Linked DNA regions of Alligator mississippiensis. The main gene of each other region encodes a partner of the protein of the gene in region 4 in a complex. Links are inferred from orthologs where the notes say so. Each region holds a gene or a part of one and is shown on either strand. Other genes may lie near its edges. The genes, in order: EXOSC9, EXOSC1, EXOSC7 and EXOSC4.

Evidence for each region.
Region 1: EXOSC4 (region 4) and EXOSC9 share a complex: the UniProt entries of both Homo sapiens proteins name them as parts of the RNA exosome core complex. The link is inferred for Alligator mississippiensis from reciprocal best matches to the Homo sapiens genes EXOSC4 and EXOSC9.
Region 2: EXOSC4 (region 4) and EXOSC1 share a complex: the UniProt entries of both Homo sapiens proteins name them as parts of the RNA exosome core complex. The link is inferred for Alligator mississippiensis from reciprocal best matches to the Homo sapiens genes EXOSC4 and EXOSC1.
Region 3: EXOSC4 (region 4) and EXOSC7 share a complex: the UniProt entries of both Homo sapiens proteins name them as parts of the RNA exosome core complex. The link is inferred for Alligator mississippiensis from reciprocal best matches to the Homo sapiens genes EXOSC4 and EXOSC7.

What each region holds. Positions count from the first base shown.
Region 1 is NC_081825.1:114,556,083-114,563,831, forward strand, and holds the start of EXOSC9 (exosome complex component RRP45), read left to right. Parts: upstream 1-4,731; 5' UTR 4,732-4,814; coding exon 4,815-4,880; intron 4,881-4,956; coding exon 4,957-5,051; intron 5,052-7,188; coding exon 7,189-7,308; intron 7,309-7,427; coding exon 7,428-7,530; intron 7,531-7,749. UniProt on the Homo sapiens protein: Non-catalytic component of the RNA exosome complex which has 3'->5' exoribonuclease activity and participates in a multitude of cellular RNA processing and degradation events.
Region 2 is NC_081829.1:100,691,119-100,698,172, reverse strand, and holds EXOSC1 (exosome complex component CSL4), read left to right. Parts: upstream 1-4,047; 5' UTR 4,048-4,118; coding exon 4,119-4,149; intron 4,150-4,235; coding exon 4,236-4,351; intron 4,352-4,635; coding exon 4,636-4,710; intron 4,711-5,249; coding exon 5,250-5,338; intron 5,339-5,581; coding exon 5,582-5,615; intron 5,616-5,922; coding exon 5,923-5,973; intron 5,974-6,110; coding exon 6,111-6,195; intron 6,196-6,336; coding exon 6,337-6,443; 3' UTR 6,444-6,680; downstream 6,681-7,054. Other genes in the region: palmitoyltransferase ZDHHC16, read right to left, coding at 691-805, 907-977, 1,065-1,188, 1,300-1,385, 1,736-1,783, 1,930-2,063, 2,471-2,499, 2,627-2,715 and 2 more. UniProt on the Homo sapiens protein: Non-catalytic component of the RNA exosome complex which has 3'->5' exoribonuclease activity and participates in a multitude of cellular RNA processing and degradation events.
Region 3 is NC_081828.1:136,669,018-136,676,164, forward strand, and holds the start of EXOSC7 (exosome complex component RRP42), read left to right. Parts: upstream 1-4,141; 5' UTR 4,142-4,312; coding exon 4,313-4,369; intron 4,370-7,147. UniProt on the Homo sapiens protein: Non-catalytic component of the RNA exosome complex which has 3'->5' exoribonuclease activity and participates in a multitude of cellular RNA processing and degradation events.
Region 4 is NC_081826.1:912,159-918,907, forward strand, and holds EXOSC4 (exosome complex component RRP41), read left to right. Parts: upstream 1-4,679; 5' UTR 4,680-4,728; coding exon 4,729-4,899; intron 4,900-5,232; coding exon 5,233-5,439; intron 5,440-5,531; coding exon 5,532-5,891; 3' UTR 5,892-6,243; downstream 6,244-6,749. Other genes in the region: OPLAH (5-oxoprolinase), read right to left, coding at 64-202, 397-562, 765-960, 1,119-1,242, 1,362-1,476, 3,393-3,584, 4,267-4,440. UniProt on the Homo sapiens protein: Non-catalytic component of the RNA exosome complex which has 3'->5' exoribonuclease activity and participates in a multitude of cellular RNA processing and degradation events.

The DNA.
Region 1 (7,749 bases), on a different chromosome or scaffold from region 4:
TCAAAAGGTTGAAGTAAGGACGGGAAAGGTTTAAGTTAGATTGGGATCCTGGTAATAGACACTCATATAGATACCATCATATGGTGCACCGATGAAAAATGTGAAGATGTACGTTTCAACTTTAATGCCTTTGTCCTACTATATTAGAGACCACCATGCAAGGCCAACATTAGCATTAGAGAGCCATCCTTTTCTGGAGAGGAGATTTAAGTGTGAGAAAAGTGTAAAAAATCCAGTTGAATAAGCAGTTTATGTGAACTTGAATCTGAAAGCTGAGGCAGCATACTTTAGCTTAATAGGAGCTAGTGTTTTAGGCACATGGATTTTTTTTGTACCGATGTATCGCAGAATCAGTGGGGAGAATGGTCTAATTAAAACAACATTAAAAGCAGAAGGCTGTTCAGGGTGATGCATGGAGCTAAACAGGAGTTAAAGATGAAGGGTGTTCCAGTGCTAAAGCTGGGACATTAAAAAAAAATTCACAAAACCTGGTAGAAAGGAGCTACAATAGCAGCAAAAGATCTTTACAAGATCTTTGTCGTAGTCTACAAGCACAAGAGAGGAATAAAGGGTAGAAACACTAGTATGTAAAGATCACCTGTCAATATGTTCTACCTTTTGTTGAGAAGGAATGTTTGTCTTTTGATAAAGTGCTTCTTGGAAAAACTATACTAATAACTAGGCTCCCTTTGTATTACATTTTAGAGCAGTTTTTTGTAGTAATTAAATACCTCATCTAGCACTTTCAAATATTTCTCCAAAGCAGCTGTTGTCAAGTAACTGCTGTTTACATACAGGAAAAAGGAGGAGCAAGGGAGGAAAAAAATGCCAGTAACACTTGCTTTATTTGCTCACGAGAAAGGAAGGCAAGTTGTGAATTTCCAAAGGCAAACAGGTGCATGTATACTGCTGGCCTTTAAACAAGAATACAAACTTAGGGTAGCAGCCTCAACCTAAAGAAAGGGACCAAAAACCATTATAAATGCTTAGAACAGAAAAATACCACATCTCTGCAGTAAAAGATCTGAACTAACTAGCGATAAAGAGAGGTTGTTAGCTGTGTTAGTCTGAAGTCAGACAGAAGGCAGGGCAGAGTTGCGCCATATAGACAACTAATTCAGAAATACGCATGTATAAGGTGCAACTCCACTATAATTTACAGATATTTGCTTCTGTAGGAAAATACCATATTTTCTTGCATATAACCCACCCCTTCTCCCAAAAAAACAGCTGAGGAAAATTGGGGTGTACCTTATATGCAAAGAAAAGGGATGCCCATGGGCCTGAAAATTTGGAGAAGGGGAGGTAGAATGTTGGGAACCTCTCACCACTACCTCCCCTACTATAACATTTCCAGACCCACAAGGAACTTCCCTCTCTAACCACACACCAGATCAGACAGGCACTTGGGGTTGGTATGCAGCCAGACTTGGTACACCAAGTCCAACCCAGCACATGGGCCCAGACGCAACATGCCAGATCTGATCCTGTGTGCTGGGTCCAGAACAATGTGCCAGAATGGACCCAGTATGCCAAGTCCCCATACTGGGTTTGAAGCCATATGCTGGCTCCAGGGCCACACATTAAGTCTGACCCCATGTACTGCCTGGGACTGTATACTAGTTCTAGCAAGCATGTGGAGTCGGACTTTCGGCCCAAGATCCAGTGCATTAGGTCAGTCCACAGACCCAACCAGCATGCAGGGCTGGCAGCAGTCCCAGCTCCCAAGCTGCTGCCACTCTTACCTCTTTCAACAAATTTTTCTTCTTCAGGTTCCCCTTCAAAGGTGAATACTATAAATGAGGGTGTGCTGTATGAGAAAAAATACAGTAGCCTGGTGTTACCTACTTACATTTATGCTAGTGAGTAGAGGTGCACTGATAGATCAGCACTGATAAAAGGAAAATTTATGTTATTGGCAATCAGCTTTTTTTGGCTGATGTGGCTGATGTCACCAATAAATGCCCCATGCATGCGTGCAACTGCACGCATGTGCACAGTCAAGAATGCAGCCTGGCAGCTTGGAGAGTAGCATCCAGCTGGTAAGTCTGTAGGGGAAAGGGCATAGGCAGATTGAGGCCCCCACAGCAAGGGAGGGAATAGGGCAGGGGCAGGCACTGCCCAGCTTGGGCAGAACACAGGACAGAGCCATGGGCGGCTCATCCAGGGGGTGCAGGTCCCACTGCTGCATGCACCCCTGGGGGAGGTATAGGGGCATGTGCCTCCTGGATTTGTGTGCGGGTTGAGGGCAGGATGCCCACTGCAGGATTGATGCTGGGGGCTGTCTGTGCTGGCCTCTTCCCAGCGGAAGGGGCTAGGCAGGAGCTGTGGGCAGGGTGGGCAGGGGCAAGGCAGGCAGCAGGGAATTCTGGGGTTGACATGCCCCCCATGTTTCCTCTGAGGGTGCGAACAGTGGTGGGAGCTGCTCTCCTCCTGCCTGGATAAGCTACCTGTGGCTCCATCTTGTACCCCACCCTGGCCAGGCAGCACCTGCCTCAGGCCCTGTTGCACTTTCTCCCTCGCTGTAGGGGCCTCGATCTGCCCTCACACAACCCTCCCCCCCTAGACTTACTGGCCAGATGCTGCTCTCCAAGCTGCCAGGCTGCATATTGGCTATCAGATCAGTATCAGCTGATATGGCTGGTAAATAATTGGCATCAGCCAAAAAAATCTTTATCAGTGCACCTGCACTAGTGAGAGACACCAGGGGTCTGTGCAATTATGCAGGTGGAGCAGCTCCTATTGTTTTTAACAAATTATTTTAGCAGTATAAGGATAAGAGTATTAATGGAGTATTGATAATGGGTATTAATAAACCCAACCATTTTGGATTTATAACTAATTAATTATAAACCCAAATCAGTAACACATCCTTTTCCCCCACACATGTATGTATTTTTCAAGGGCTATAGGATTTGCTTCCTCTAAAGTCTGCATAGCTGTCTTGAGGGTGACTACTGTAATATTCCTAAGGTTATACTGTGTTGGCTTTTTCATTTTAGTAGCTGCAGGAGCTGCATGGAGATGCCAGTTTGATCAGCCTTTAGGATGGGCTCCATCAGTGCACAGGGCAAATGCTTGGTTACATAACCATTACTTATTCCAAAAATATCTTGAGGGTCTGGTAAATGAGTTATTCCAAATACACATTTAATTTATACAGTTTTTAGAACCAATTTTCAGAAGTAAAGACAGAAGATTAAGGGTTAGAAGAGGCAGGTTTACTAGCAAACGTTTCTAAGGCTGAAGAAAAATTACAGATAGAAGGTTTTGGTTTTATTTATAATACAAGTTATGACAGGACCACCATTAATTAATATGGCAGCCCCTTGCAGAAAAGGACAAAAAATTTTGCACGAAGCCTGACACTTGCCAAAAGGGTTAAAGGCAACTACGTTAACAGCAGCAGCTCAGGATCCACCTGGCTCTCTGGATGTATCTTAAGGTAAGTAGGCATGCAGCTGAATCACTGCAAGAGGCAGCTTAACCAGCTATTCCTGGAGCTGCTTGCCTGGCTCAGCAGAGAGGAGTAGAAGTGGTGTGAAGTCCTGGATTGCCATGCAGCTCATGTTCACTGTGGTGCTTCCTTGTGCAATTCAGGTTCTCAAGTGTTGCCCCCCCTGCCCAGGCACAGCTGACCGGGGGTGGGGGGAAACAACTGGAGCCCTCGTTTCTCCAACAGCAGGAGCAATGTGTCCTCCTTGGGCTGTCCAGCTGCCATATCCTGGGCAGTTCCTGAAGCATCCTCCTGAATTAAGGCAATCAGGACTCATAGTAGAGAAGATATCTTTTATTAGACCAACAAGATGTTTGCAGAAAAATTGCAAGCCACTTAATCCTTTAATCCTTACTAAACACAAAACGCCCACATCAGGCATTGGAGAAGATTGTAAAAGTTCTCCTGGGTAGCAATGAAAGTTTGTATTTCCTAGGATTTCACAGAGGAGTCAACAGATGGAAAACTCCTAAGCGATGAACTGACTGCCCAGAGTTTTGACTCCTCTGTGAAATCCTATGAAATATGAACTTTCATTTCTACCCAGAACTTTCACAATCTTCTCCAATGCCTGATGTGGGTGTTTGTGCCCGGAAGCTTGCAATTAAAGCTTTTTTTTTTTTTTGCAAAAATCTTGTTGGTCTAACAAAAGATATCACCTCGAGTAGAGTTCTGATTGCCTTTTCCTCTATACCAATATGGCTACAACCTGGAGACCTGACTCCTGAACTAACACTCAGGAGTTAAACCTGCTATGTCAACAGGCAATGTGAATCGGCAGGGTGCTGCCATGGACAGGGATAGCCCAGCTCTCCTCACTAATATAACTGACACAGAGGCGGGCATGCCCACATCAGGACAGCAAGTATCACATTTTTTTTGTCATCATAGAAAATGCCGGTTGGGAGGGACCCCAGGAGGGCACCGAGCCCAACCCCCTGCTCGAAGCAGGACCATCCCCAACTAGATCATCCTGAGCCAGGGCTTCAAAACCTCCAAGGACTCAAGAGGCCACGACCTGTGCCAGCGTTTCGCTACTCTCCTGAACAAGCCCCTCGCCCACGGGCCCCGCCCCGCAGAGAACAGGCTCCGCCCCAGCCCGGGGGGTGGCGGGAGCACACAACCCTTAGCGTCGCCCCTTCTACAACTCAGTGGGAGGGTGAAACGTCTCCTGTGTTTTAAAAGCGGCGGCGCGGCCGCCACCCCCCCGCCCAATCAAAAAGAAGGCGCGGGTCCTGCCGGCGCCTGCGCAGTGGTATCTGTCGTACGGCTGATGACGTGACAGGGTGCGACTGGAAGACTGGTAAGTCGCGCCACCATGAAGGAGACGCCGCTGTCCAACTGCGAGAAGCGCTTCTTGCTGCGCGCCATCGAGGAGAGGAAGGTGTGAGACCAGCCCCCCGCTTTCCCGTCTTTTCCCCCCACTTTTCTCCCCGCTGATTCCACTCTCGGCCTTGCAGCGCCTGGACGGGCGGCAGAGCTACGACTACCGCAATGTGCGCGTTTCTTTCGGCACCGACTATGGCTGCTGCGTCGTGGAGCTGGGGAAGACCAGGTAGCGCCGGGCTGGGGGAGGCGCAAGGAGGTGCATGAGCAGTGGGGCGCACGAGGCTGGGGCAGCTGGGGCCGCGTGCAGCCTCCCTCAGTGACGGGAGCCGCGGCTGTAGGGCCGCGCGCAGCTGTTCGGGCCTGGGAACACGGGGGGCGCATGCGCGGTGCCTCGGGCGCGCCTGCCTGGTACTGCGCGTGCGCGCAGGGCTGCGAGGGGGTTCCTGAGGGCAGCTCCAGCCCCAACCCCTTCTGTAGTAGGGCGGGCTCTGCCCAGTGTTGCCCACTTCGTATCATCCTTCCAGCCCTTGTACTATGTACAATCAAGAATAATAAGCGTTCAAAATGTACAATGATTTTTGAGGCAGCTCACTGATGCAGGATGGGTGAAACCTGAGTCACTCTCAAGGGAGTCTTGACTGACTTCTGGGTTTGCTGTCAGCACTTTCTTATGTCTGCCTGCCTTGAATAAAGAAATGCTGCAGCTTTGACCCAGTTCTCACTTAGTGCTGAGTTACGGTGATAAATATAAAGTAAATAAGAAGAATTATTTGCATCCTGCTGCGGCCGAGGTGGTTAACGTGTGCTGGGAGATCCCCTGGAGAGGCCCTGCTACAGATGAAGGCAGGAGGCCCCTCCATCCATACCAGCCTGACCCTGGGGGGAAATTCCTTCTTGACCCAAATACATCAGTCAGTCTGACTTTTAGCAGGATGAGACCCTCTTAGCTAGGACCTTCTGGCTTTAAGTCCCAGCAAGAGTGCTGGCACACTCCAGTCTCAAACCTCAGCCATGTCTGTAGCCAACTCCTGGTTCCTCTGAGGAGCGCATGGTGGGGAAACAAAACCCTATCACATCTGAGTTGTCAGTGACTTGGGGCATTTTTACATGTGCTGTGGGATGCAGTGCCAGGAACTTTAGTTAGCAAGCTGCTCTAATTGCATGTCATGTGTATTGGTGTCCCTGCGCTGAAAGAATGGCAGCTGGGCGCTTTGAAATAGAGCTCATTGGACATGTTTTATTTCAAAGCACCCTGCCACCATTTTTTAGTGCAGAGATGCATGGCAACGCTGATGCACGTGACTCGGAAGGCTGCTGGAGTGTGTCAGTTTCCACGCTCCAGCAGACCTGATTGATCGAGCCTGCTCTGACATGCTGGATTTCCAGTGCATTGGAGCAGGCTCTGCACACATGTATAGGAGCCCTTGGAGACACCCTCGCTCCCTCTTACATTGCCAAGTGCTATGTTACCCAGGTTACAAGTAGCCTTGTGGATAGACTGCTGCTAAAAGGGGCAGAAGCAAGTCTCCAGGCCCACTTTTTATTTGCTTGTACTTGAAAATGCAAAAGCAAATGTTTATCCCAAAGTCTGCCTGGCTACCTCTGGCAGCATAGTATAGAGTCTCACTTATACCAGCTGGGGAGACGTAAGAGGCAGGAAGAGGGTGGCACGCAGATTGGCAGCAGGTCTTTTTGAATTTGATGAGTTCTCCAAATTTCCCTCCAGCTGTACCCAAGATTTACAGGTGGCTGGTTGTAATAATCTAATAAATGATTTCTGGTTGGATTGGATCTAAAGATCATGTCTCCCCCCAAAAAGTCCCTTGTGTAATAGTGCAAACATCAGTGGTAGTGCCAATACCAAGTTAAACCAGTACATGAGGTTTTACAGGATTGAAGCTAGCAGTTACATACCCTTCATGGGTGTATGGGGTTTCACAGTGTATTTAGTTGTAAAGCAGGCATGTGTAAACAAGTGTTAACATAACTTTGGATATTTAATATCCTACTTGTGACTTTGTACAGTAATCTCAAATGGAGCTTTGCAGTCCCCTATAGATGGTATCTCCATTTTTCATGCGGGGGGTGGAGGGGGGGAATATGAAAGATACAAAATTTGGTAAATTCTTCTAGCTCACAGTGAGAATAAAAGCTACATTTTAAACTCCACATAGCACTCTACTGCCTAGTTTCTGTTAGTGCCCTAGTAATGGTTACCTTGAATACATTTAGCTGTCTTGCTTAAAAAATAAACTGAAAAAATTGGGAGGTGTAAAATACAACTCATGTATGTTGTGCAGTGTTTAACTTCTTTCTGTCTTCATTCTGAAGCCTGTGCTTCTGGGGGTGATTTTCTTTTGCAGAGTCCTTGGACAAGTCTCATGTGAACTTGTTGCCCCAAAGCCAAACCGGGCTACAGAAGGTATACTTTTCTTTAATCTTGAGCTCTCTCCAATGGCTTCACCAGCTTTTGAGCTGGGCAGGTACGTGGCTTTTGCTGCAGTGACAGCAGGTAGGATTGATATAAGGATGACCATGGTGTCATTGTTCTCCCTTATTAATAACTCACAACTTAAACATGTGCATATTATGTCTTCTACAGGCAGTCTGAATTGCTGGTGAAGCTGAATAGGTTATTAGAAAGATGCCTAAGAAACTCAAAGTGCATAGATACTGAATCTCTTTGTGTTGTTGCTGGTGAAAAGGTATGAAATACTCTGAAATCCAGAGCTTTTTAACATTAGGGGTTTAACAGGTTGCATATAGGATTTGGTTTCTGTTGTCTCTTGAACAATAGTTCCTATGTTTGTTTTAAAGCTCTAGCCCAAGTGACTTGTGCATATGTAGCTCTAAGCATGTAGTTAGTGGGCCTATGTAATAGTAAATGTTTGTAGGAACAGAATACTTTAACTTTTTACTTACTA
Region 2 (7,054 bases), on a different chromosome or scaffold from region 4:
CGCCTGGCCCGGCCGTGCCGCCAGTGCCACCAAGCTAACCCAACCCGCTTCCTGCCGGGACCAGAGGGCAGCACCTTCGCTGTGCCCACCCTGCACCCAGGAGCCCCCGCCACACAGGAGGGAGCAGGCAGGGCCCAGGCACGTGTCGCACTCCACATGCCACCAGAATAAACACGTGTGTTTTGGTACAGCAGCGTCAGGGTGTTGGCAGGCGCCGTCAGACCGGTGGGGCTGTCAGGTGGCCCTTGCGGCGACCTGCTGCCTCCCCATCCTTCCTGGCTGCAGTTCGCGCCCCAGGGCAAGGTCCCTATTTCTTTGCTCCTCGGAGGCTGCTGAAGCACCAGTGTTTAGACCAGCAGGTCCAAGCCGGCCCCTCTGCGGAGCTCCACACGGAGCCCAGCTGGACCATGGGCCTGTTCAGCTAGGCTCCCCTGGGCCAGACCAGGCAACAGCGAGGAGGTGGCCGCATTGGTTAAAAACGGGTTTTATTTGACACAAAAAACCCAGGGGGGCGGCCAGGCAAGGCCCCCTCTGCAGCAGAGGTGCTGGTGGGGCCGTGGCCTGTGCAGCCCCGTGCACCCTCCCAGGGGCTGCCTGCAGCTCACGAGGGGCAGGAGGGGGCAGAACAGACATCCGCGTTTGGACCTCAGGGCTCCGGGCACCGAGGCTGGGGAGGGTCTGCGCTGGTGGTCAGATGGCCAGCAGGGGTGTGTGCCGCTGCGTCACGCACGGGGGTGTGTCCCAGCTCAGGCCAGTGCCGTGGGGCAGGTGCGTGGATGGCAGCAGGACGCGGGTGAGCCAGTGCCTGGGAAGGATGCAGCCCATGGTGAATGCTGCAGCCTCCCAAAGCCACAGCCCTGGGCCCCCTGCACCAGGGTCTTGGGCTCGGCCTAGAGCCCCCCTCACCTGGGCACATCCACTCCGAGGAAGACCCGCCAGTTGTCCCAGGCGCCGAAGCTGTACGGGTTCCGGAACGCCTGCGGGAGCAGAGACGGGGAACGTGACGGTGACTGACCGTGGCCGCCTGCCCCCCAGGCTCCCTGCCCCCCAGCTCCTACGCTCACTTTGCCCTTCTTCTGCAGCCGCTGCCGCTCCTTCTTGTTGATGTGTCTCTCGATGCTGGTCTCCCCGCGGGTGATAAGGGCCGCGTGCCACAGTGTCAGCGCCCCCAGGGCCAGGGCCACAGAGCTGGGGGCAGGTGGAGGTTGGGGTCAGGGCACTGAGTCCAGGCAACCTTCCCCGCTCTGCGCGCCTGGCTGCATGGAGCTGCCTGCTCCCAGGGCCCAGCGCCCCCGTTACCTGCACAGCACCCACAGGTAGACGATGCTCTTGTGGAAGGCGCGCTGGCGGAAGGAGAAGGCCGGGGGCGGTGTCTGGTAGTAGGTCTGCAGGGAAGGACAGGTGGTTGGTTAGGCCCGTGGGGGCGGCTCTGCTCCCTCAAACCCCACCAGACGCCCCGAGAAACCAGGACCAGCCAAGAGGACCCTCCCCCGCCCCGCGCGCGCGCACACAGAGCAGACGGACACTTGGTGAAAGCAGCGGGGCAGCAGGGCAGGGAGCAGCTGCGTGGCAGCCTGGGGCATGAACCCCGCAGGCAGCAGGCAAGAGCCACGAGCTGGGGCCTTGGCCCTTGGGGCAGCTCCGCGCCCGCAGGCGCAGCAGAGCCCAGGCGCAGGCACATGCGAAGCAGCTGCCAAGGCCCGGCCTGCTGGCCCCGGGCGCGGGGATGTCCCACCTGGTTGGCGGCTGCCTGCAGGCGCTCCTTCTCGAGCTGTTTCATTCTCTGGGGGGATGGAAAACACGGCGCAGTTACAGGCCTCACGGCACAGGCGCCCCGGGGCCAAGAGAAGCCCAGGGCCATGTCTGCCTCTCCCTCTCTGTCTGCCCTGGAAAGCTGGAGCGCGTGCAGGCCGAGGTCGTGTCACTCACCTCGATGGCCGCATAGGCCTCACGGAACATGTCCCAGCCGCTGATGCTGCAATAGATGCAGCCCATGGTCATGAAGAGGCAGAAGGAGAAGAAGTAGCGGTGGTTGTAGTGCCCCACGCAGTTGTTCAACCAGGCTGCCCCGGATTAAAGATGGGTAACAATAGGAGGGGGCACCGCGCCACACCCCTGAGCCGGGCTGCCGTGGCGCTGCTTGGACTCAGTGGGGCAGGGACAGCCCCCCGCCTGCCCCCAGTCTCAGGCAGCTGCAGCTCCATCCGGCGCCTGCTACACCTGGTGCGCGGGGACCTGGAGTCTGCACCTGAGCCCTGCCCCTGGCAGCCTCGCCAGACACCCCTTGGCTCCAGCGCCATGTTCCCCAGGGGCCCTGGGACACAGCCCCCAGCAACACCAGGGCTCGGGGCTATGCTGCCCCTCCCACACGGTCAGCCCCAGCGCTCGGTGCACCCCAACCCCCCGACCCTTTCCCAAGAGCCAGGCTCCCTAGAGAGGGGCCAGCCTGGCCGGTGCTGCAGAAGGATACGGCAGTGATGGTCCATCTTGAGCACGCACCTGTGAGGAGAGTGGACGGCTGTGAGCGCCTGCCGGGGGTCTGGGGCGAGAAGCCACTGCAGGAGGGAGGGAAGGGGGGCGACCGCGCTGTGCTGCGGTGGGGGGCCTGTGGGACGCGGGTCCCTACCTGTTGCAGATGCTGCAGTGGTGGGTGCGCGCCGGCTTGGGGGCGATGCACTTGCGGCAGATGGAGACGCCGGTGAGGTCGCCCTTGGCCTGCAGAGGGAAGGGCGGTCGGCGCTCGAAGCGGGCCCCCCCGGCCCCCCCAGCCCCCGCGCCCTACCTGCGGCGGGTAGCCCGGGGCGGTGGTGATGGCCATGTAGTAGTGGAAGACGATCATGAGCAGGTTCCAGTGGCCGTAGCTGAGGTGCCAGCAGACCCAGGCGGGCGCGTAGGTGCGCAGGATGAGGGGCAGCAGGCAGACGTAGACGATGGCCACCACGGAGCTCGTCAGCACGATCACCAGCGCCACGAACGCCTGCGGGAGCAGCGCCCGCGCTAGCCCCGGGGCCTGGGCCGGCCGCCCCCCCGCCCCCCCGGCGCACGGCACTCACCACCCCGAACCAGCGGGTGACGTGGTCCACCAGCCAGTACACGGGCTCGAAGAGGGCGTCCAGCACCACGTCGCCGTCCGTGAAGGAGTTGTACAGCAGCGAGCGCAGGCTGAGCCGCCCGTAGCTCCACAGCTGCGCCGCGCGCCGCGCCAGCCGCCCCCGGCACCGCCGGCCCAGCCGCAGGCACCGCAGCGCCAGGCGCATCGCCGCCGAGAAGGTGCGTCGCCGGCTCCTCATCCCTGCCCTGCGCGGGGGCACCCGTCACGGCCCGCCGCGCCCGAAACCGGAGCCGCGCGGCGCGGCGCGGCGCGGGGGGGCAGGAGCTCGGGTGAGCCGGCCGGGGGGGGGCGGCAAGAAGTAGGGGGACAAGGGGGGGCTGGAGCTCAGGGGATGAGGGCTGGGGGGGAGCGGGGGGGCAGGGGCTGAGGGGGCAAGAAGTGAGCTCAGGGGACAAGGGGGGGCTTGGGGGGGCGGGGGGACAGGGCTGGGGGGGCTGGAGCTCGGCGGACGAGGGGGGGCTGGGGGGTGGGGGGATGGGCTGGGGGGGCTGGAGCTCGGGAGACAAGGGGGGGCTTGGCGGGTGGAGCTGGGGGGCGGGGAGACGGGGCTGGGGGGGCTGGAGCGGGGGGTTGGGGGGTGGAGCTGGCGGGAGCAAGAGCTGGGGGGCCAGGGCTGGGGGGGAGGAAGCGGGGGGGGCAGGGCGGACCCCACGCGCGCGGTCCCGGGGGGTGCGAAGGGCAGACACGCGCCTCCCCCCGCGCTGGCCCCGCCCCCGGCAGGCCCCGCCCCTCACTCACCCGCCGCCATCCCGGCCCGGCGGCCCGGCTGTCAGCGGCGCGGGGCCATCGCCGCTCGCATTGCGCCTGCGCGGGGCTCGGCGCGCAGGGCCCGTCGGGAACTTCTCCAGTGCGAACTGCAGGTCCCGGCGGACCCCGCGCGGCGCTTGCACGTGTGGGATGTCACGTGCCGGACCGGGCCAATAGTGCGTCGGCTTGCAGCGGAGCGGGGGATGGAGGCCAATGGCAAGGCGGCTTTTATTTCTCGTAGCGACGGCGCGGAGCAGACATGGCGCCGCCCGTGCGCTACTGTATACCTGGTAGGTGTCGTCCCCCCTCCCCGCCCGACAACCGGGGCCCGCCCTTCATGCGTCCCCCTCGCTAACCCCCCGTCCCGTCCCCGCAGGGGAGCGGCTGTGCAGCCTGGACGAGGCGGCCGCGGGCAGCGGCACCTACACCCGGCGCGGGCACGTGCACTCCGCGCTGGCCGGGGCTCTCCTCGCCCGCGACCTCGGCGGTCCGGTGAGCGGAGCGGAGCGGAGCGGGGGGCACGGCTCGGGTCCCAGCCTGCCGCGGGGACCCTTTCTGGGGGTGGGGGGGCAGAGTTGGGGTGAGAAGCTGGGGGTGCTGGGGGCCGAGCTGAGGTTCCAGGTTGGCCGGGCCCTGGGCCTTCTCTCCTGGCTGCCTTGAAGATGAGGGGGCCCGGCTGTGCAGAGTGGTGCAGGAGCCGCATGGGCTGTGGCTGCGCTGGGGCTGTCTCCGCGAGCGGCTCCAAGCTCACGGGGCACGTCCCTCCTGCCTGGCAGCTGCCCGTGGTGTCCGTGGTGCGAGACGCCGAAGCCCAGCTCCTGCCTGACGTGGGCGCCATCGTCACCTGCAAGGTAACGGTAGCCGAGCGCCCAGCCCGCTTGGGTGGGGGGCAGGTGGGGCTGGGCTTGCCCCGTGCTGCGGGTGGGCAGCCCCCGTGCCCGTCTCCCCGTCACGGGCTGGTGCAGGAGCCGTGTGGTTCAGCCCCGGATCCGTCTGGGTCCCGGGGAGCCCCTGCTTCCCACCGAGGGCTGCCCCCGTAGCCAGCCACGGGGCTGTGGGCTCCCAGTGCCCTGCTGGGGGTCACAGGGCGGTAACTGATCCGCTCGCACTGGTGGCTGGGAGGACTGGGGTGGCAGGAAGGATGCTGGGCTCCTTAATCTCTGGAGCTGGGGTTGCTGGAGCCGTTGGCTTGGGGCAGAGGCTTTGCACGGGGAAGAGCTGGCTTCTCTGCCAGTGCCCAGGCGCTGGGTCGCTCTGGTCCAGAGGCTGATGGGCGACGGGGTGGCGGTGCCGTGCTGGGCTGGGCTGATGCACTGGTGCAGGGGCAGGTCCTGCACCAAGGTCCAGGCTCTGCTGACCCAGCCGTGGGCCGGGCCCTGTCTCCCTGCAGGTGTGCAGTATTAACTCCCGCTTCGCCAAGGTGCACATCCTGTACGTTGGCTCCACGCCCCTCAAGTCAGCTTTCCGCGGCACCATCCGGTAGGCCCTGGCCTGGGTCAGGACTCCCCACCCCTTGCCCTGCCCCTTCCAAGGCAGCTGGCCCAGCTTGGCGGCTCTGGGGTCTCCATCTCTCCTTCCCCCCACACCCAGGCCCAGCCTCACATGCACCCGGGGGCCTGCAGCGAGGTCCCACAGGCAAGCCCAGGTGGGCAGCGCTGCCTGCGGCTCTAGGGGCGGAGCAGGCTGCACTCCCAGTGTTAAGCTCCCCATCTCCCCTTACAGGAAAGAAGACATCCGAGCCACGGAGCGGGACAAGGTCAGTGGTGTCCTGCCTGTGCTGGCAGCGTATGACAACTGGCATCTGCCCCTCCTCTCACCGCAGCCACAAGGATGGCCGGGGGGAAAAGGGTGTTGCTGACCCAGAGGGTCCCAGCCATGGCTTGCATCCCTCTGGGGGGAGGTGGGGTCCAGTGAAGGGGGGAGGGTCTATTCCTGTGGAGGCCTGGACTGCCTGGGGCTGCTGTCAGGTCCTGGGGCTCAGCAGCCTCCCCCATGGCTCCTGGTACTCACCCCAGGAGCCGGTGGCCTCCCCCACCCCCTAACCAGCCCATGCTCTGCGGCAGGTGGAGGTTTACAAGAGTTTCCGCCCAGGGGACATCGTTCTGGCTAAGGTGGTATCCTGCCCTCACTGGGGTGCGCGAGGAGGCAACAGGGCCTGGTGGGACTTCCCTCTCTCACGGGTGGGGGGGTGTCCTGCTCGCCCAGCACATAACCTTGCAGGCCAGAGCCCTTTCCTTGACCACCGGAGCAGATCTCGCTGGGTGACGTGCAGTCCAACTACCTGCTGAGCACGGCCGAGAACGAGCTGGGCGTGGTGGTGGCCCACGGCGAGGCAGGTATGAGCGGGACTGCGGCTCCAGCAGCATAGGCCCCTTCAGTGGCTGGGGTGGGCTGAGCTGTGTCCCCTGCTCCCCAGGCTGCATGGGGAAACAGGAGGAGCTCTCCTGGGCTCTCGGTGACACTGCACTGGTCCCTAGGGGCACGGCTGGTGCCCATCAGCTGGTGTGAGATGCAGTGTCCCCGGACGCATACCAAGGAGTTCCGCAAAGTGGCCCGTGTGCAGCCCCAGTTCCTGCAGACCTAGGCTACCCCGTGCCCCCCGGCAGGATTACCTGAGCCAGGAGCCAGCCGGAGCCCCCTTCACCGAAGTACCTGCAGCATCACCTGGACTGGTGCCCACGTGCGCTGGGCTGGGACTCAGGCCTCCACCAACACCTGCCAGGAACCGGATGCAGCTCTGGCTCCCTGGGCCCTGCCCGTCCTGCCCCCAGGCAGGATTTTAGATTCCCAAGCTGTGAACAATAAAGGCTTTCCAAACCCCTCCCCTCCTTGGTGATTCCCAGCCCTGAGTGGGGGCAGGGTTAGAGGTTGCCTGGGAGAAGCCGGTTCATGGCCCTGCTGGGGTTGCAGCCTGTGCCAGCACTCCTGCAGCACTTCCTGGGCCGTCTACACCAGGGTGTGGGGAGCAGTGGACTCCTGGCTTCCAGGGCTGGGGCAGAGAACAGGCAACCTCTAGCAGCTGCAGGGTCTTCTAGCCTGGGTCTGTTGCTGTGTAGAGGATGGCAGGGGCTCAGTGTCCTGCGGCTGTGAAACCTGTGGGTCCCCCCCAGGCTGGACCAGGTGGAGCTGCTTTGCAGTGAGTCTGCCCTCCCCCCACCTGGTTGGAGCAGCAGGAAACAATGGTGGGCATTGAAC
Region 3 (7,147 bases), on a different chromosome or scaffold from region 4:
ACCGCCCGGCCCGGCCCGGCCCGGCCCGGCCCGGCCCGGCCCCACGCGGCGGCGGTGGCGCCTCCCCCTGCCCTGTCAGCTCGGCCGCAGCTCCCCCTCTGGCCCCCGCGCGCGGTCCGCGGGAGCTTACGCGCTCCAAAAGCCCGATAGCCGGGTCCTGGCCGCAGTGGCCTACAGGAAAAGGCAATCGGGACTCGTAGCAGAGGTGGTGTCTTTTATTAGCCCGCCAAAAAAAATATCTTTAATTGCAAGCTTTCGGGCACAAAAAAGGACCTGGATGCCGCGTATCGAAGAGCCAAGTTGCTCTCAGAGAGCCTCGACCCACTTTTGGGTTTGGGGTCAGCACTTTTCTTTTTTTTTACGGCTGTTTGCTGGGCGGTAGGGGTAGAAATGAAATGCTTCAGCTTTAGATGATCCACTTCTGCGCTCCCTCCCTGGCCACTTAATGCAATGCAAAGTAAATAAGAAAAAGACTTGTTTGCATAATTGTTCAGCAAATGCAGTAATTCTGAGCTTACAATACAGTCATATTTAAAACCTGGCAATGCTGCTTCCAGTCTCTTACTCCCAGTCCCTGTTCCCAGGCTCATCTTTACGCAGCTAGAGGTCCGGAGCGATGAATTCGATCCACTCCAGAGCTGGAATTGCATCCAAGTGTCTATTGACAAATCAATCACAATGTAAAATAGTATCAAGTATGTCGGTCTGAATGAGGAGCTAAAAGGAGCCCACGGGACATAGGTGATGTTATTTTACATGCCCCACGGCCTCCTCTCAGCTCCTCATTCAGGCCTATGTTCTTAATATTATTTTACATTTCAATTAGTCAACAGACATTTTGGGGGAAAATCAAACTCTTGAGCACACTGAATTCATTACTCCCGACCTTTAAGTGCGCAAAGATTAGCTTTGAGAAAGGAACCGGGAACAAGGGACCAGGAATAAGGAGACCACATTTGCATCATGGCCGGAGCCATGTCCTCTTGGCCTCTGTGGACCTGTTTGCCTGGATGCCACAGCAGCAAGGCCTCACCTGGGCTCAGGTGCAGACAGCCTCGTGGCAGAGCTGTGTATGGCAAGGAAGGCATTGCCCTGATGCAGCTGCCCAAGCATCACACCCAGCTGTCTCTGCCTCCCCAGCTTGAGGGACTAAGAGTCCATTGAGAGCTGGGAGCTTCCCCAAGGCTAGAGCAGGGCTCTGAAGCTGCAAGAAGATGTGTGTTAACTGCTCTGTTGATTTCCCCCACAAGCAATACAAGGCCTGAGGAAATATGGCTGTGCCTGACCCATTCTGCTTATTTCTTGCATTTCCCCCTTACCTGCTATTGTATTTATTTAAATATTGTTTCTTGGCCTTTTGGCTAAGATCAAGTGGGACATGGGGGCATTTGAACCTGGGGCTTCTGGGCCTGGAGCTTGCACATAGGACACCTGCCTGGATTTTGGGAATATCCAAAGCCCCAGACAGATAAGTCTGGGAGGGAGGATACTTGCTCTGTGGTCGAGCCACACAGACTTGCCGATTAAGTTCTGCTCAGTTGAATTTTGGAACTTGACTATTGGGCCTTGCCCTGTTGAATTTGGAACAGATTTGGCCTTGAGCAAGATAAAATTCTATTTAAATTGTAATAGCGGTCAAGCAGGGGCTGGCTTTTCTGGCTGGATGGTGTCTAGTAGAATGGAGTCTTGATCAGTTGCACTGGAGCATTTAAGATCATGTGGAGGTACCACTTGAGTTTATGTAGTCCAGCCCCTTGCTCAAAGGCAGGAGCATCCCTGACTCATTTAGGTGCTCCTGGGAAACAAAAAATAGACACGTATGTGCAAACACACATGGGTTTGTGCACATGGATGCCCCCATGTTACACCCAGGTTCTTAGCAGCAACTCGTAAGAACAATAGGGAAGGACAATACATATTGCTGTTTGGCCCATGTTAAAAAAAATGCAGAACCTGGCAACCTTTTCTTTGAAACCTCCTCTGTCCCTCAGATTTGGGGGAAGGAGATGAAAAACCACTGTGAGAAACCTGCCCAAAGCTGGCCAAGTTCCAGTGTTGCCAACTCTCATGATTTTTGGCATTGCTGTTAAAGTCTAGGGTTTGGGAATACAAAAACCTTAGCTCTCACACACACGCACGCGCACCCCCCCCCCCCCCGGTTTTCGCATCCCCAAAGCATAGACTTTAAGAGCAACGCCAAAAATCATGAGTTGCCAACACTGAAGTTCTAAACCTTTGAAATACTGCACTTTGCTCATGCTCAGTAGATAAGAAAGCTTCTTTTGACAGTATCACAAAAATGCTAACCACAGTATGCTACTCCTTGAAGATTAAAAAAACACATACATGATGTCCCCCTCAAAAAACCCTATGTTAAAAGAATGTTAAGGTTGCAAAGTCAAAATGCTCAAAATGTAGGAAATTCCGAATGAAGGTAACCTGTCGAAGCTCAGTTTAGCAGCCCGATGGTGCCTGTATCGTTATGACAGTCACTAGCTCTAATTACAGCTTCCTGGCTAGAGCATCTTATTCTTCTGCTCAGGGTCAAATTGATCGCCATATTTGGGGTCAGGAAGGAATTTTACCCCATGATCAGGTTGGTTTGGACTGTGGAAGTTTGTCTTTCTCTGTAGCCCTCTAGTCCCAATCTCTTGAATCTACATTGAGAACATTTCTGTGCCAGGTTAGGGTGCTGGGTCTGTATTCCTTCAGGGTTGATGGTAGTCTTACGTAGAGTTTAGATTATGGTTTGTATAGGGTGGTTTGGATAGGAACGATCCTGCCTCAGGCAGGGGGGTTGGACTAAATGACCTCTGGAGGTCCCTTTCAGCCCTACTGCTCTATGGTTCTATACTATGTATTCCAGATGACTGCCTGCCTCATCCCGTGCCCAAAATAGCAGACTGGCCATAGCAGAGGTGCTCACATTGCAGCCCTGCCAGATTCTAATGAACATGCAAATTCAGCTAAATACCTCTCATCAACAACCTCAGACACGACATGAGAAGCAGAAGTACCCAAAAAGACAGAGCTCATTGGATGAGCTATTCACTACTTCTCCTTTTAGTTCAGTTTGAATCCCTGTGTTTGATTTGTCACACCCAATTCAAGCGCTGCTCTGAAGACAGAGCCATAATTTCCATCTAGGGTTTCCTGTAGGCCATAACAGAAGTGCTTATGGCGCAGCCCTGTCATATTCCAACAAAACTGCAAATTCTGCTAAATACCTTGTCACTAGGACTCAAAAAAGGGGGCTTCCTATAGCTGCTATAGTGTTGCATATGGCATGTAAGCGCATGGTATGCTTAAATGAACTTATTTTAAGGAAATTATTGGGTATTATTATCCCCAGTTCCATCACTGAGGAACCAAGTCTGAGAAATTACGGTCAGACCTATTTACTACTTTTAGGTCCCCCCAGTTTGAGACACCTTGGACACCCCACCCCCCTATTATATAAGGTCTTTAGATGTCCAAAATACAAGTCCCTTTGACCAGGGCTCAAGAAACACCCAAGAAGGAAATCAGTTAGACTACCTGACCTGTGAGAAGCATAAATGAGGTGACCCATAGGATCTCCTGCATCAGTGTTAAAATTCTGCCATCTCCCCACTTTGAGGCATTGTCTTTGTAATCACCATGTTCTTTCAGTGTCCCTGGGGTGTGTGCACGCATGCACCTTCTATGTGACTCACCCGCACCGTGACTCAGTGCAGGCTGCACCTCCATCAAGAGATGCAGCAGGTGAAGCTGCTGGCTTAAGATTCATTTCTTGTCCCCCCTCCAGAGACAGGGACAAGCTGAGTGCTGCTGTGCATAGCTGCAGGGGGTAGCTGTGTTGATCTAAGATCAGGGTAAACAGGGCTCTTTGGGTAAATGTGGTATCTTGCACTGCCCCCTGAGCCTGCCCAGCCAGCACTGCAGGCTCTCACACTGGTTTCTATGTTATGCACTCAGTGGATTAGCGCTCAGAGACTACGATGCGCCATTACGGTGGTAGGCAGGTAAACCGCGTGTGCTCAGCCGCCACCTATACGCACATACGTTTTTCCAAGTAACACGGATGCGCATGCGCAAACCCTCAACTTTCCCTGCGCATGCGCCCAGTTAGTGCCTCACTCCTCACAGTTCCTTGAGGCGGGAGAGCCTGTGACGCAGGGGGCGTCAGTCGTTCCACCACGCGTCACGGGGTGGAAGTTACGTACACCCGATGCTGTGCCTCACGTCGGCTGACAAGGGTTCGAGGAACTTCGTTGCGTTTTGATGACGGCATCCGCAGTGAGCCGGAAGTGTTTACGAGCCGGCGCGGGGCATGGCGTCTGTGGTGCTGAGCGAGGCGGAGAAGGTTTATGTCGTGCACGGGATCCAGGTAACGGGCTCCCCTCCCCCAGTAGCTCCGCCTCGCTGCTCCCGGAGCGCCGCTTCCCCCCTCCCAGCCCCATGGAGGTGCCCGCTCCTGGCTCTCACTCCGTGTGGCCTTCAGGGGCGCGAAGAGACCCCGTGGGCGGACTGGTTTAGGCGCAGGGGATTGCTCTCTGCAGTCCTGGGCTTTGTCTTGTGAGGGAGGGCGGTGGTGCGCTAAATAGTGGGGGAGGGCGCCGGGGCTGTGCACCTTGAAGGCTCACAAACCTGTGTGTGTGCACGTGGGCATAGGTAGGCTTGCTTTGGTGAAAGCTGCCCTGCCTTTCACATCTAGGCATCACAAGGTTTCATTAGCTGAAGTGTGCTTCATAAAGTGCTATGAAAAAGAAGCCAGGCTTTTCACTAGGGGTGCACCAATAAAGACTTTATTAGCTGTTACCCATAGTTAATTATTCACCAGGCATGTCGGATGTTACTGACTTAATAAGTGATTTACAGGAGCACAGCTGGGTGGTCTAGAGAGCAGCGCCCTGCAGGTAAGTCTGGAGGGGAAGGGAAGGAGCGGGGCAGATCAAGACCCCCAAGGTGAAGGAGGGAGCGGGGCTGGGGCTTGCGGCACTGCCCATCCAAATCAGTGACTAGGACCTGGGGCATGGAGTGGGACAGAGCCGCAAGTGGCTTGTCCAGGGTATCAGCATCCTAGTGCTGAAAAATGGTGGTGGGGGCATTTGAACTAAAGCTCATCAAATGAGCTTTAGTTCAAGTGCCACTGCCACCCTTTTTAAGCCCAGAGCAGAGCCAAGCAGGGCAAGGTTGGATGCAGGTTGCCCACTGCAGGCTCGGGGCTCTCCACTCTGCTGCCTTTGCCTGGGAGCCTCACGCTGGCCTCACAATTTGCCACCCTCACTGCTGCCGGGAGGTGCAGGGCTCCTGGGGAAAAGGCAGCAGGGCAGAGAGCCCTGAGCCCACAACAGGCAGCCTGCATCCGCCCTACGCACAAATCTGGAGGGACACATGACCCCACAATGCCCTCTCTGGGGCTTGCACAGTGATGGGGAGCCATCCCACCCCTCCCCCCACACATTCCTTGGACGAGTCACCCATAGCTCCGTCTTGCCCTTGCCCCAGGTCCCATTCACTGCTCTGGCTGGGCAGCATCCCTAATTCCTGCCCCACTCCCTCCCTCACCATGAGGGCCTTGATCTCCCTCCCCCATGCTCTTCCCGCCCACCATAGATTTACTTGCAGGGAGCTGCTCTCCAGGCTGCCCGGCCACATTCCTGGCCATGTGTATGCGTGTGGCCATGCATATGTACGCGGCGTAAGGGAGTCCTGGCCAGAAGGCATAATTATTATATTTATCAGTGAACTTTATCAGATGCACCGGACCAAAAAAAGCCAATAGCTGATAATGTAAACTTCTTTTTTATCGGTGCCAATCTGAAATGCAGCTGATATATTAGTGCACCTCTACTTTTCACAGTGTCTGATAAAAGTGCACTTTAGCTCATGAAAGCTTGTGTTAAATATACATGAAAGGCAGGGTAGATTTGTGCTAAATATATTACAGGCATAGTAGAAATATATGTGACTCACCCTGCATCTCGTAGACTCACCAAAGTATGTATGCACATGCATGCATGTGCGCATCCAGTTTCGTGAGTCTACAAGGTGAAAACCTCTCAACATACATTTTTATCCCACTTTTTATGTATATTTAGATATGAGCCAACAGTGTGCCCTTGTTGCCAAGGAGGCTAACAGCATCCTGGTCTGCAGTAGTAGGAGTGTTACCAGCAGATTGAAGGAAGTGATTATTTGCTTCTTCAGCACTGGTGAGGTCACCTCTGGAGTATTGTGTTCGGTTTTGGGCTTCCCACTACAGAAAGGATATGGACAAGTTGGAGAGAGTTCAGTGGAGGACAGTGAAAATGGTTAGGGGGCTGGGGCACAGGACTTGAAGAGAAGCTGGGGGAGCTGGGTGTATTTAGTCTGCAGAAGAGAAGACTGAGGGGGGATTTTATAGCAGCCTTTAACTACTTGAAGGGTGGTTCCAAAGAGGATGGAGCTAGACCAGGGATGGACAAAATATGGCCCATGGCCCGGATCCGGCCCATGAGGCCATTCTATCCAGCCCATGGGGCTCCTAAAAAATTTAGAAAATTAATATTTATCTGTCTTTAGTTCATGTCAAGAGTAACTGGAACCAGGGCCAGTAGGTCCCAGGGGAAGCCCAGTGGGCTCCTGCCCCAGCAGGGGCTTCTGACCTGGGACCATGTGGCTGCACTGGCCAGAACCTCAGGTAAGGGGTGTGGGGGAGGGCAGGGAAGGAGCCTGGAGAAAAGTGGTCCCTCCCCAGCCCCATGGGCAGTGCTCCCTGCTGCAGCTGCTTGCAGCCCGCACAGAGCTGTCCTGAGCAGGCAAAGGCAGCCCCACGCAGACTGTGAACAGCTGTGGTGCAGGGCATCAGGCACAGAGTGAGGGAGGGGCCTCTTGTCCCCACTCTTGTCCCTTGGTGCTGCGTTCAGCACCAGCTTGTAACCCACCCCCACTGCCAGCCTGGGTCCCGCGCCAGTTCTGGGCTTGCCCTTTGGGGCTGTGCACAGTGGCAGCAGCTGTGCCCACCCCGCCCCCTGCCCAGAGCTTCCGCACTAGGCAGCCCAGAGGCAGTGGTGGTAAACACCGCTCGGCTCAGCAAGCAGGGGGGGCTGCAGCTGCTGCCACCAAGGCACAGCCCCGACGGGTGAGCCTGGAACCAGTGTGGGGCCCCAGCTGGTAGCAGGGG
Region 4 (6,749 bases):
CTCTGGGCCCCTTGTGGCAGCAGGATCTAGCCAGGAGACCGCCGGGGCAGCCAGTGACCCCACCTGAAGAAGAGCATGGAGCCCCCGCCAGCCGCCACAGTGTTGATATCCAGCTGCGGAGCCTGGATGCTGATCCCGGCCGTGGTGGCCTCAAAGACGTGCTCGTACTCCCCAGCATAGCGGCTCACGTCCGTCGAGGTGCCTGGAGGGGGGCATGGGTCAGATGTTTGCCCCTGCCCCCTGGCACCGATATCTCAGCCCTGACCACCATCTCCCACTCCAAGCCAGTGCCAGGGCCAGGGCCAGGGGATGGGGAAACTGGACCCCCAGGAGCCTGGCCAAGACACCTCCCTGACCCCCAACCCAGCAGTCACCCCCAGTCGTGGCAATTCACACCTCCCATGTCGAAGCCAATCACGGGCTGCCTGTCCTCGTGGCTATAGGTGGTCATGGCGTAGCCCACAACGCCGCCAGCCGGGCCAGACAGGATGGCACGGGAGCCGCTGAACTGGTCCATGGGAGTCAGGCCCCCGTCGGAGCGCATGAAGAGAACTGGGACGTCCTGTTGGGGCAGCCAGGGAGCAGCTGGGGTCGGGGAGCTGCGGGGGTGCCCCAGCACGGGGGGGCAGGAGTCTATAGCAGGTGCCGGGTCATGTGGAACAGGGCCAAGGAGCACAGAATGGGGCAGACTGGTCCAGCCACATAGGAAGGCAAGGGCGAGGAGCGCTGTGCAGCTCTGAGGTGCTGTGGTGAGCTGTACTCACCTGGAGCTGCCGGACAAAGCCGGCGCGGAAGCTGTGGAGGTAGCGCTGGATGCAGGGAGTGAGGTAGGCGTCGGCACAGGCTGTGTATCCGCGAGGCACCACTCGCACCATGGGCATTACCTCCGAGGATAGTGACACGTGCTGGAAGCCCAGCTCCTGGGCCAGCACACCCACCTGCTGCTCGTGGGCTGGGCACCTGCCAGAGGCAGCAGGGAGGTGGGCAAGGCAGCCCCAGCACCCATCCTGCTGCCATGGAGAGGCATGCAGGTCGGGGCACAGGCACGGCCCTAGCTCCCTGTGCTCCTTCCCAAACTGTCGCTGCCCACCCCAAGTGCCCACGCCGCAGGGACTCACGCATAGGAGTGTAGCAGCACCACAGCCAGGCTCTGGATGCCCCGAGCCAGCAGCCCCTGTAGCTCCGTCCGCAATTTGGCCAGGTCCAGGGGCTGCTGCACCACCAGGACATCCCCCGTGGAGCCTGGAGTGGGCAGGAGCCAGGTCAGAGGGGCCCATTCGTACACCAAAGACTGCCTTCCCCAACACCCTTGCCTTGGCCCAGCCTGCCTGCTCCCACCCAAACCAACCCTGGGGACCCACCTTGGAGGCGCTGACTCGTGTCAGCCCCGGGGAGCCGGCAGTCGGCACGGTGCGGGATCAAGCGCTCATCCACCTCGATCACCTCTTCGTACAGCACCTCGGGCACCGTCACCGCCTGGGCACGACATGGGGGCAGGACAGGACACGGTCACTGCCCACCCCAGCACAGCTCACTGACCAGCCATGCACAGAGGGCTGCCCCCCAACACTGCCCTGCTGGCCCCTCCACTAGGGCCTGCCCCCCTCCCAGCTGCCAGGGCCCAAGCCCAGGCTGGGGTCCCCTGCTCTCACCCAGTGCCAGGACCAGCCTGGGGTGCTCACTCCCCCCAGACATACAATCCCCACCATCTTGTGAGCTCTCCTGTTTCAGGGTAATTTGGGGGTGGCTCCCCCCACATTCCCCAGCTTCTGGACTGAGACTGTCAGCTCAGCCGCTGACAGGCCAGAGTCACTGCACCAGCATGAGCCCTGGGAACGGCTGTGGGACTTGCCAAGGCCGTGCAGGACGTCTGAGGCACAGCCTGACACCGACCCGCCGGGCTCAGCTCTCAGGCTGCAGGCTCTGAGGCCACCACCACACTGGGCTCTCTCAGGGTGACCCCTGCCCCCCAAACCCTCTGCAGTGTCTTGCTTTGGGCTACTGCCCCCCACAGCACAAGCCCAGATCACGAGAGCACCAGGTCCAGCTACGTCCCAGGGACCAAGGGAATGACCAACCCCACTCGCCGGCCCCATCAGACTCCAGGGAGTCCAGCAGCGCAGCATCTGCAGAGGGTCTGGAGACAAAGGGCTTGGGGGGAGACTCCAGCTCCTTCCCAGGGCACTAGGGGAGGGGGAAGAGGCTCAGGCAGGGCATCCAGAAGCCCCAGGGAGCGAGAGGGAGGTGGAAACCCTCAGGGCAGAGCCTGGCCAGGACAAAGCAGCTGCAGCCACGTGGCCGTGTCACCGGCCAAGTGCAAATAAAGGGAGGCAGGCACAGGGGCCCCGGGATTAGCAGTGGAATCCGGTGCCAGCTCCTTCCCGGCACCAACCCCTCCGAGGCCGGTTCCCAAGGGCGTTTGCTCCGGCTGAGCGCGCAGGGGCCAGCCTGCGGCTCCTGCTCCCCACGGGGCGAGGCCAGTGCCCTAGGGATTCACGTGCCGGGTCCACGAGGGCGCCCAGACGGCTGCGACACCTCGCACTTGAGCTATGAGCCGTGGCACAAAGGCAGGGCCATGCCTGCCCCCCCCTGCTCCTACCCCACCTGCCTGCCCAGGAATGGGGCTCGGGGAGGGGGGACAGGGCCTCCACGGGGGATTCAAACCGACGCTGCGCCATGCGCCGATTCCAGAGGCACCTGCAGTCCCGCGCGAGGCCACGGAAGCTGCAACAGACCCACAGGGAGCCCGGGGGCAGGGGGAGCAGTCACAAGAACACCAGAGCTGCCCCAGCCTGGGGCAGACCCAGTCCATCCTGCCTGTCTCCTGTGTCCCACGGGGCAGGGAGCGGAGCTGGACGGAGAGCGACCGGAGCTGAGCAGGGTTTTCCCCCGTTCCTCTCCCTGCAGCCCCCAGCACTGAGCTCCAGGCAGGGCGATGCAGAGACCGTGCCCCTCGCTCCCTGCCCCAGAGCCACCCATCGATGCCCCTTTCCTCCACGCACGTGTCCGAGCCCTGGTGAGCGTGGCTGAAGTCTTGGCTCCCACCACCCCTGGGGCCACGAGCCCCCCATTTAATGCTGCGCTGGGAGGGGAAAGACCTCCCTGAGCTGGTGTTAAACCTCCGCCTGCTCAGCCCACGCGTGACCCTCACTCCTGTCGGGGACGGAGACGGTCCCTGGGATTTGTTACTGACTTCCCTCTTCCCCGCTGAGCGCGTCGTAAATCCTGCTCCTGCCCCCCCTGGCGTCTCTTCTCCAGACTGCCAGACCTGGCCTCGTGACTCTCCTCCTAGGGAAGCTCGTCCGAGCCCCTCAGCATCCTTCCCCAGGTCTCCTACCTCCGTATGCAGGTGCGGGCCGCGGCATGGTGCCGCCGGTGCGGCTGGGACTCACCAGGTCGAAGATGCAGGGCCGGGCCTGGTTGCCGATGTGCAGCAGGTCACGGAAGCCCCTGGTGATGAGCAGGGCGATGCGCTCGCCCTTGCGCTCCAGCAGCGCGTTGGTGGCCACGGTCGTGCCCATGCGGATCCACTCGATGCGCGACGTGTCCAGGGGCTGGTCTCGTGGGAAGGGCACGCCGCACTCCTGCGTGGGGGGAGGAGGGGAGCAAATCACGGCCACGCCAGTCCCCGCAGCCCCCCGCTTTCACAGCGCCTGGTGCCCGCGGGCAAACTCGCTCCTGCCCCCGCGGGAGCCATCAGCGCCAGCACCTCGGCCCTGATGCTGCAGATGGGGAAACTGAGGCACGGACAGGAGGGAGCAGGTCGCGCCCCAAGGAGCTGCACCAACACCTTCCCGGGGGCCGGACCCCTGGGGCCGCAGCAGCGCAAGGAGATGGGACACCTGGACGAGGATGCGGAGCGGCCGCAGGAGCAGGGACGGGGGGTCGCGGGGAGGCACGAGCTGAGCCTGTTGTCTCTGGGGCTCACGCCCGTCCCGACAGCGAGCGTGGCAGAGAGCACCACGCCCCCCCCACGGCGCAGGGGCTGCAGCAACTCGCCCCGTCAGGGGAGCAGCTGCGCGGGGGCCGCCCCGCCCTGCCCTGCCCTGCCCTGCCCCGGGCTGGACGAGACCCCCGGGGACCCTGCCCCCCCGCCCCGCCCCGCCCCGCCAAAGCCCGTCGCACACGGGGGGGGGGGGCAACACTCCGCAGCCTCCGAGCGCCCGGCTTGCACGCACGGGGGGGGGGGGACCGTTGTGGCACGGCTGCCCCCGGGTCCTGTCTGCTGCTCCCGCCCGCCGCTCCGCGCCGCGCCGCGCCGCCCACCTCCTGCAGCAGGCGGCGGATGCCCTCGGTGGGCGCGTCGCGGTAGCGGCCCGGGTCCTGCGAGAGCAGCTTGAGGGCGCGGACGCGGCCGGCGGGGCCCCGGGCCAGCACGTCGGTGAAGGTGCCGCCGCGGTCGATGGCGAACTGGAACCCGGCGGCGCGCGGCGCGGACATGGCGAGCACCGCCCGCACCGTCCCGGTCCCCACAGCGCCCGGCCCCGCGCCTCGCGCCGGGGGCGGGGCCTGCGCGGGGGGCGGGGCCTGCGAAGGGGGCGCGGCCGCCACACGTGCAGCCGCCGCGGGGCACGCCGGGAGCGTCCCTCCTTCCCGCTCAACGCCGCGCGCGCGAGGCAGGCCGGGAGGCGTAGTGCGCGGGGGCGGCGCGGGGCAGGCCGGGAAGCGTAGTGCGCGGGGCGGCGCGGGGCAGGCCGGGAAGCGTAGTGCGCGGGGCAGGCCGGGCCGATGGCGGGGCTGGAGCTGCTGTCGGAGCAGGGCTTCCGCGCGGACGGGCGGCGCGCCGGGGAGCTGCGCAAGCTGCGCGCCCGCATGGGCGTCTTCGCGCGGGCCGACGGCTCGGCCTACATCGAGCAGGGCAACACCAAGGCGCTCGCCGTGGTCTACGGCCCGCACGAGGTGGGCCCCCCCGACCCCCCGGGGGTCCTGTCCCATCACACCCCCCACGGCGGGGAGGTCCCAGGGGTCCTGCCCCCCATCAGACCCTCTCCTGGGGCGGGGAGGGGCCCCAGGGGTCCTGCCCCCTCCCTTGCCCCCCCAGGGTGATGCTCCTGGTTAGCCTGAGGGGTGGGAGGCACTAGGGCCAGGCCATCCAGGGGCTTTACTGGGAGCGCCCCCCCCCCCCCCATGCAGCAGCCCCTGCATCTCTGTGCACCCAACCACGGGCGGCCTTCCCCCCACCCCTGGGCAGAGCTTGGGGGGGTCCGGCCCGTGACCCCGTCGTCCCCGCAGATGCGCGGCTCCCGCAGCAAAGCGCTGCACGACCGGGCGCTGGTGAACTGCCAGTACAGCATGGCCACCTTCAGCACGGGCGAGCGCAAGCGCCGGCCCCACGGCGACCGCAAGTCCAGCGAGATGACGCTGCACCTCAAGCAGACCTTCGAGGCCGCCATCCTCACCCAGCTCTACCCCCGCTCGCAGATCGACATCTACGTGCAGGTGTGCGCGGGCGCGGGATGGGAGGTTTCCCGGCGGGGGGCCGGGCTCTGCGCCGTGCAGCCGGGCCCACCCACTGTGCTCTCCCCCCCCAGATCCTGCAGGCAGACGGCGGGAACTACTGCGCCTGCGTGAACGCGGCCACGCTGGCCGTCATCGACGCCGGCATCCCCATGCAGGACTACGTGTGCGCCAGCTCGGCCGGCTTCGTGGAGGACACGGCCCTGGCCGACCTCAACTACGTGGAGGAGGCGGCCGGGGGCCCGCAGGTGGCCCTGGCCCTGCTGCCCAAGTCGGACCAGATCGCGCTGCTGGAGATGAACGCGCGGCTCCACGAGGACCACCTGGAGTGCGTCCTGGACGCCGCCACCGCGGCCTGCCGGGCCGTGCACGCAGTGCTGGACCAGGTGGTGCGCGACCACGTGCGGGAAGTCGCCACGCTGCTGGGGGAGTGAGCGCCCGGGGGGGGGGCACTGACCTGCCTCCAGGCCTGTGGGGGTTGACTGCTGCCTCCTGGGCACGGGCCCTTCCCTCAGCCCCGGGGACGCTGGGCCAGCACTGGGATGTGTCCCCTCGCCGCGTGGAGACGGACCCCGGTGCCCCTCGCTGGGCGACGGGCACCACCGCTGCGCTCTGGCACGGCCTGCGTTTTGGGCCTTGGCGGGAGGTGCCTGCCTGCAGGGCCTGCACCCTGGGCGGGGGGCTACTGTGGCTCATGGGCCGTGCCGGGAGCCCAGGCCAGTCCCCTGGTAGGAGTGGGTGTTGTTTTGGACAAGCAGCTCTGAATAAAGTGTTATTTTGGTGCAACTTGTGGCTGTTTCTTCTTTCCTGTGCACGGCGGGGAAGGCTGGGGGGCCACAGGGAAATGGGGACACCCAGCCCGGGTGCTGCTGGTCCCTCTCGATCCGGCCTCGCTGTGCACGGCCTGGGCTGAGTGAGCACCTGCCTGGACCAGCCCGGCCGTGCCTGGGGGCTCCAGCATCACTCCTGAACCTGTCCCTAGAGCTGTGCCGCCTGCCCAGTGTGCAAGTGCAGGCCTCCCTGGCCTGGGGAGCATGGGGCTCTGAGGGTCCTGGGCGTGGAGGGGGACTCTCGCGCCCCGCAAGGCTGGGCTGGGGTCGCGGGGGGAGGCCCCGCAGTGCCCCGGGCGAGGGGAGCGGCTGGGAGCCGGGGAATGGGCGTGCATGATGTCATCCGGCCCGCGCAGCTCCCCCTGGTGGTGCGTGCAGCCCCCTGCCGGCAGCCGCGCGCATGCGCACTGCCGCGGGGGGGCGCGGGGCCGCTCGGCGCTCGACTGCTCGGTCTGCGGCGCG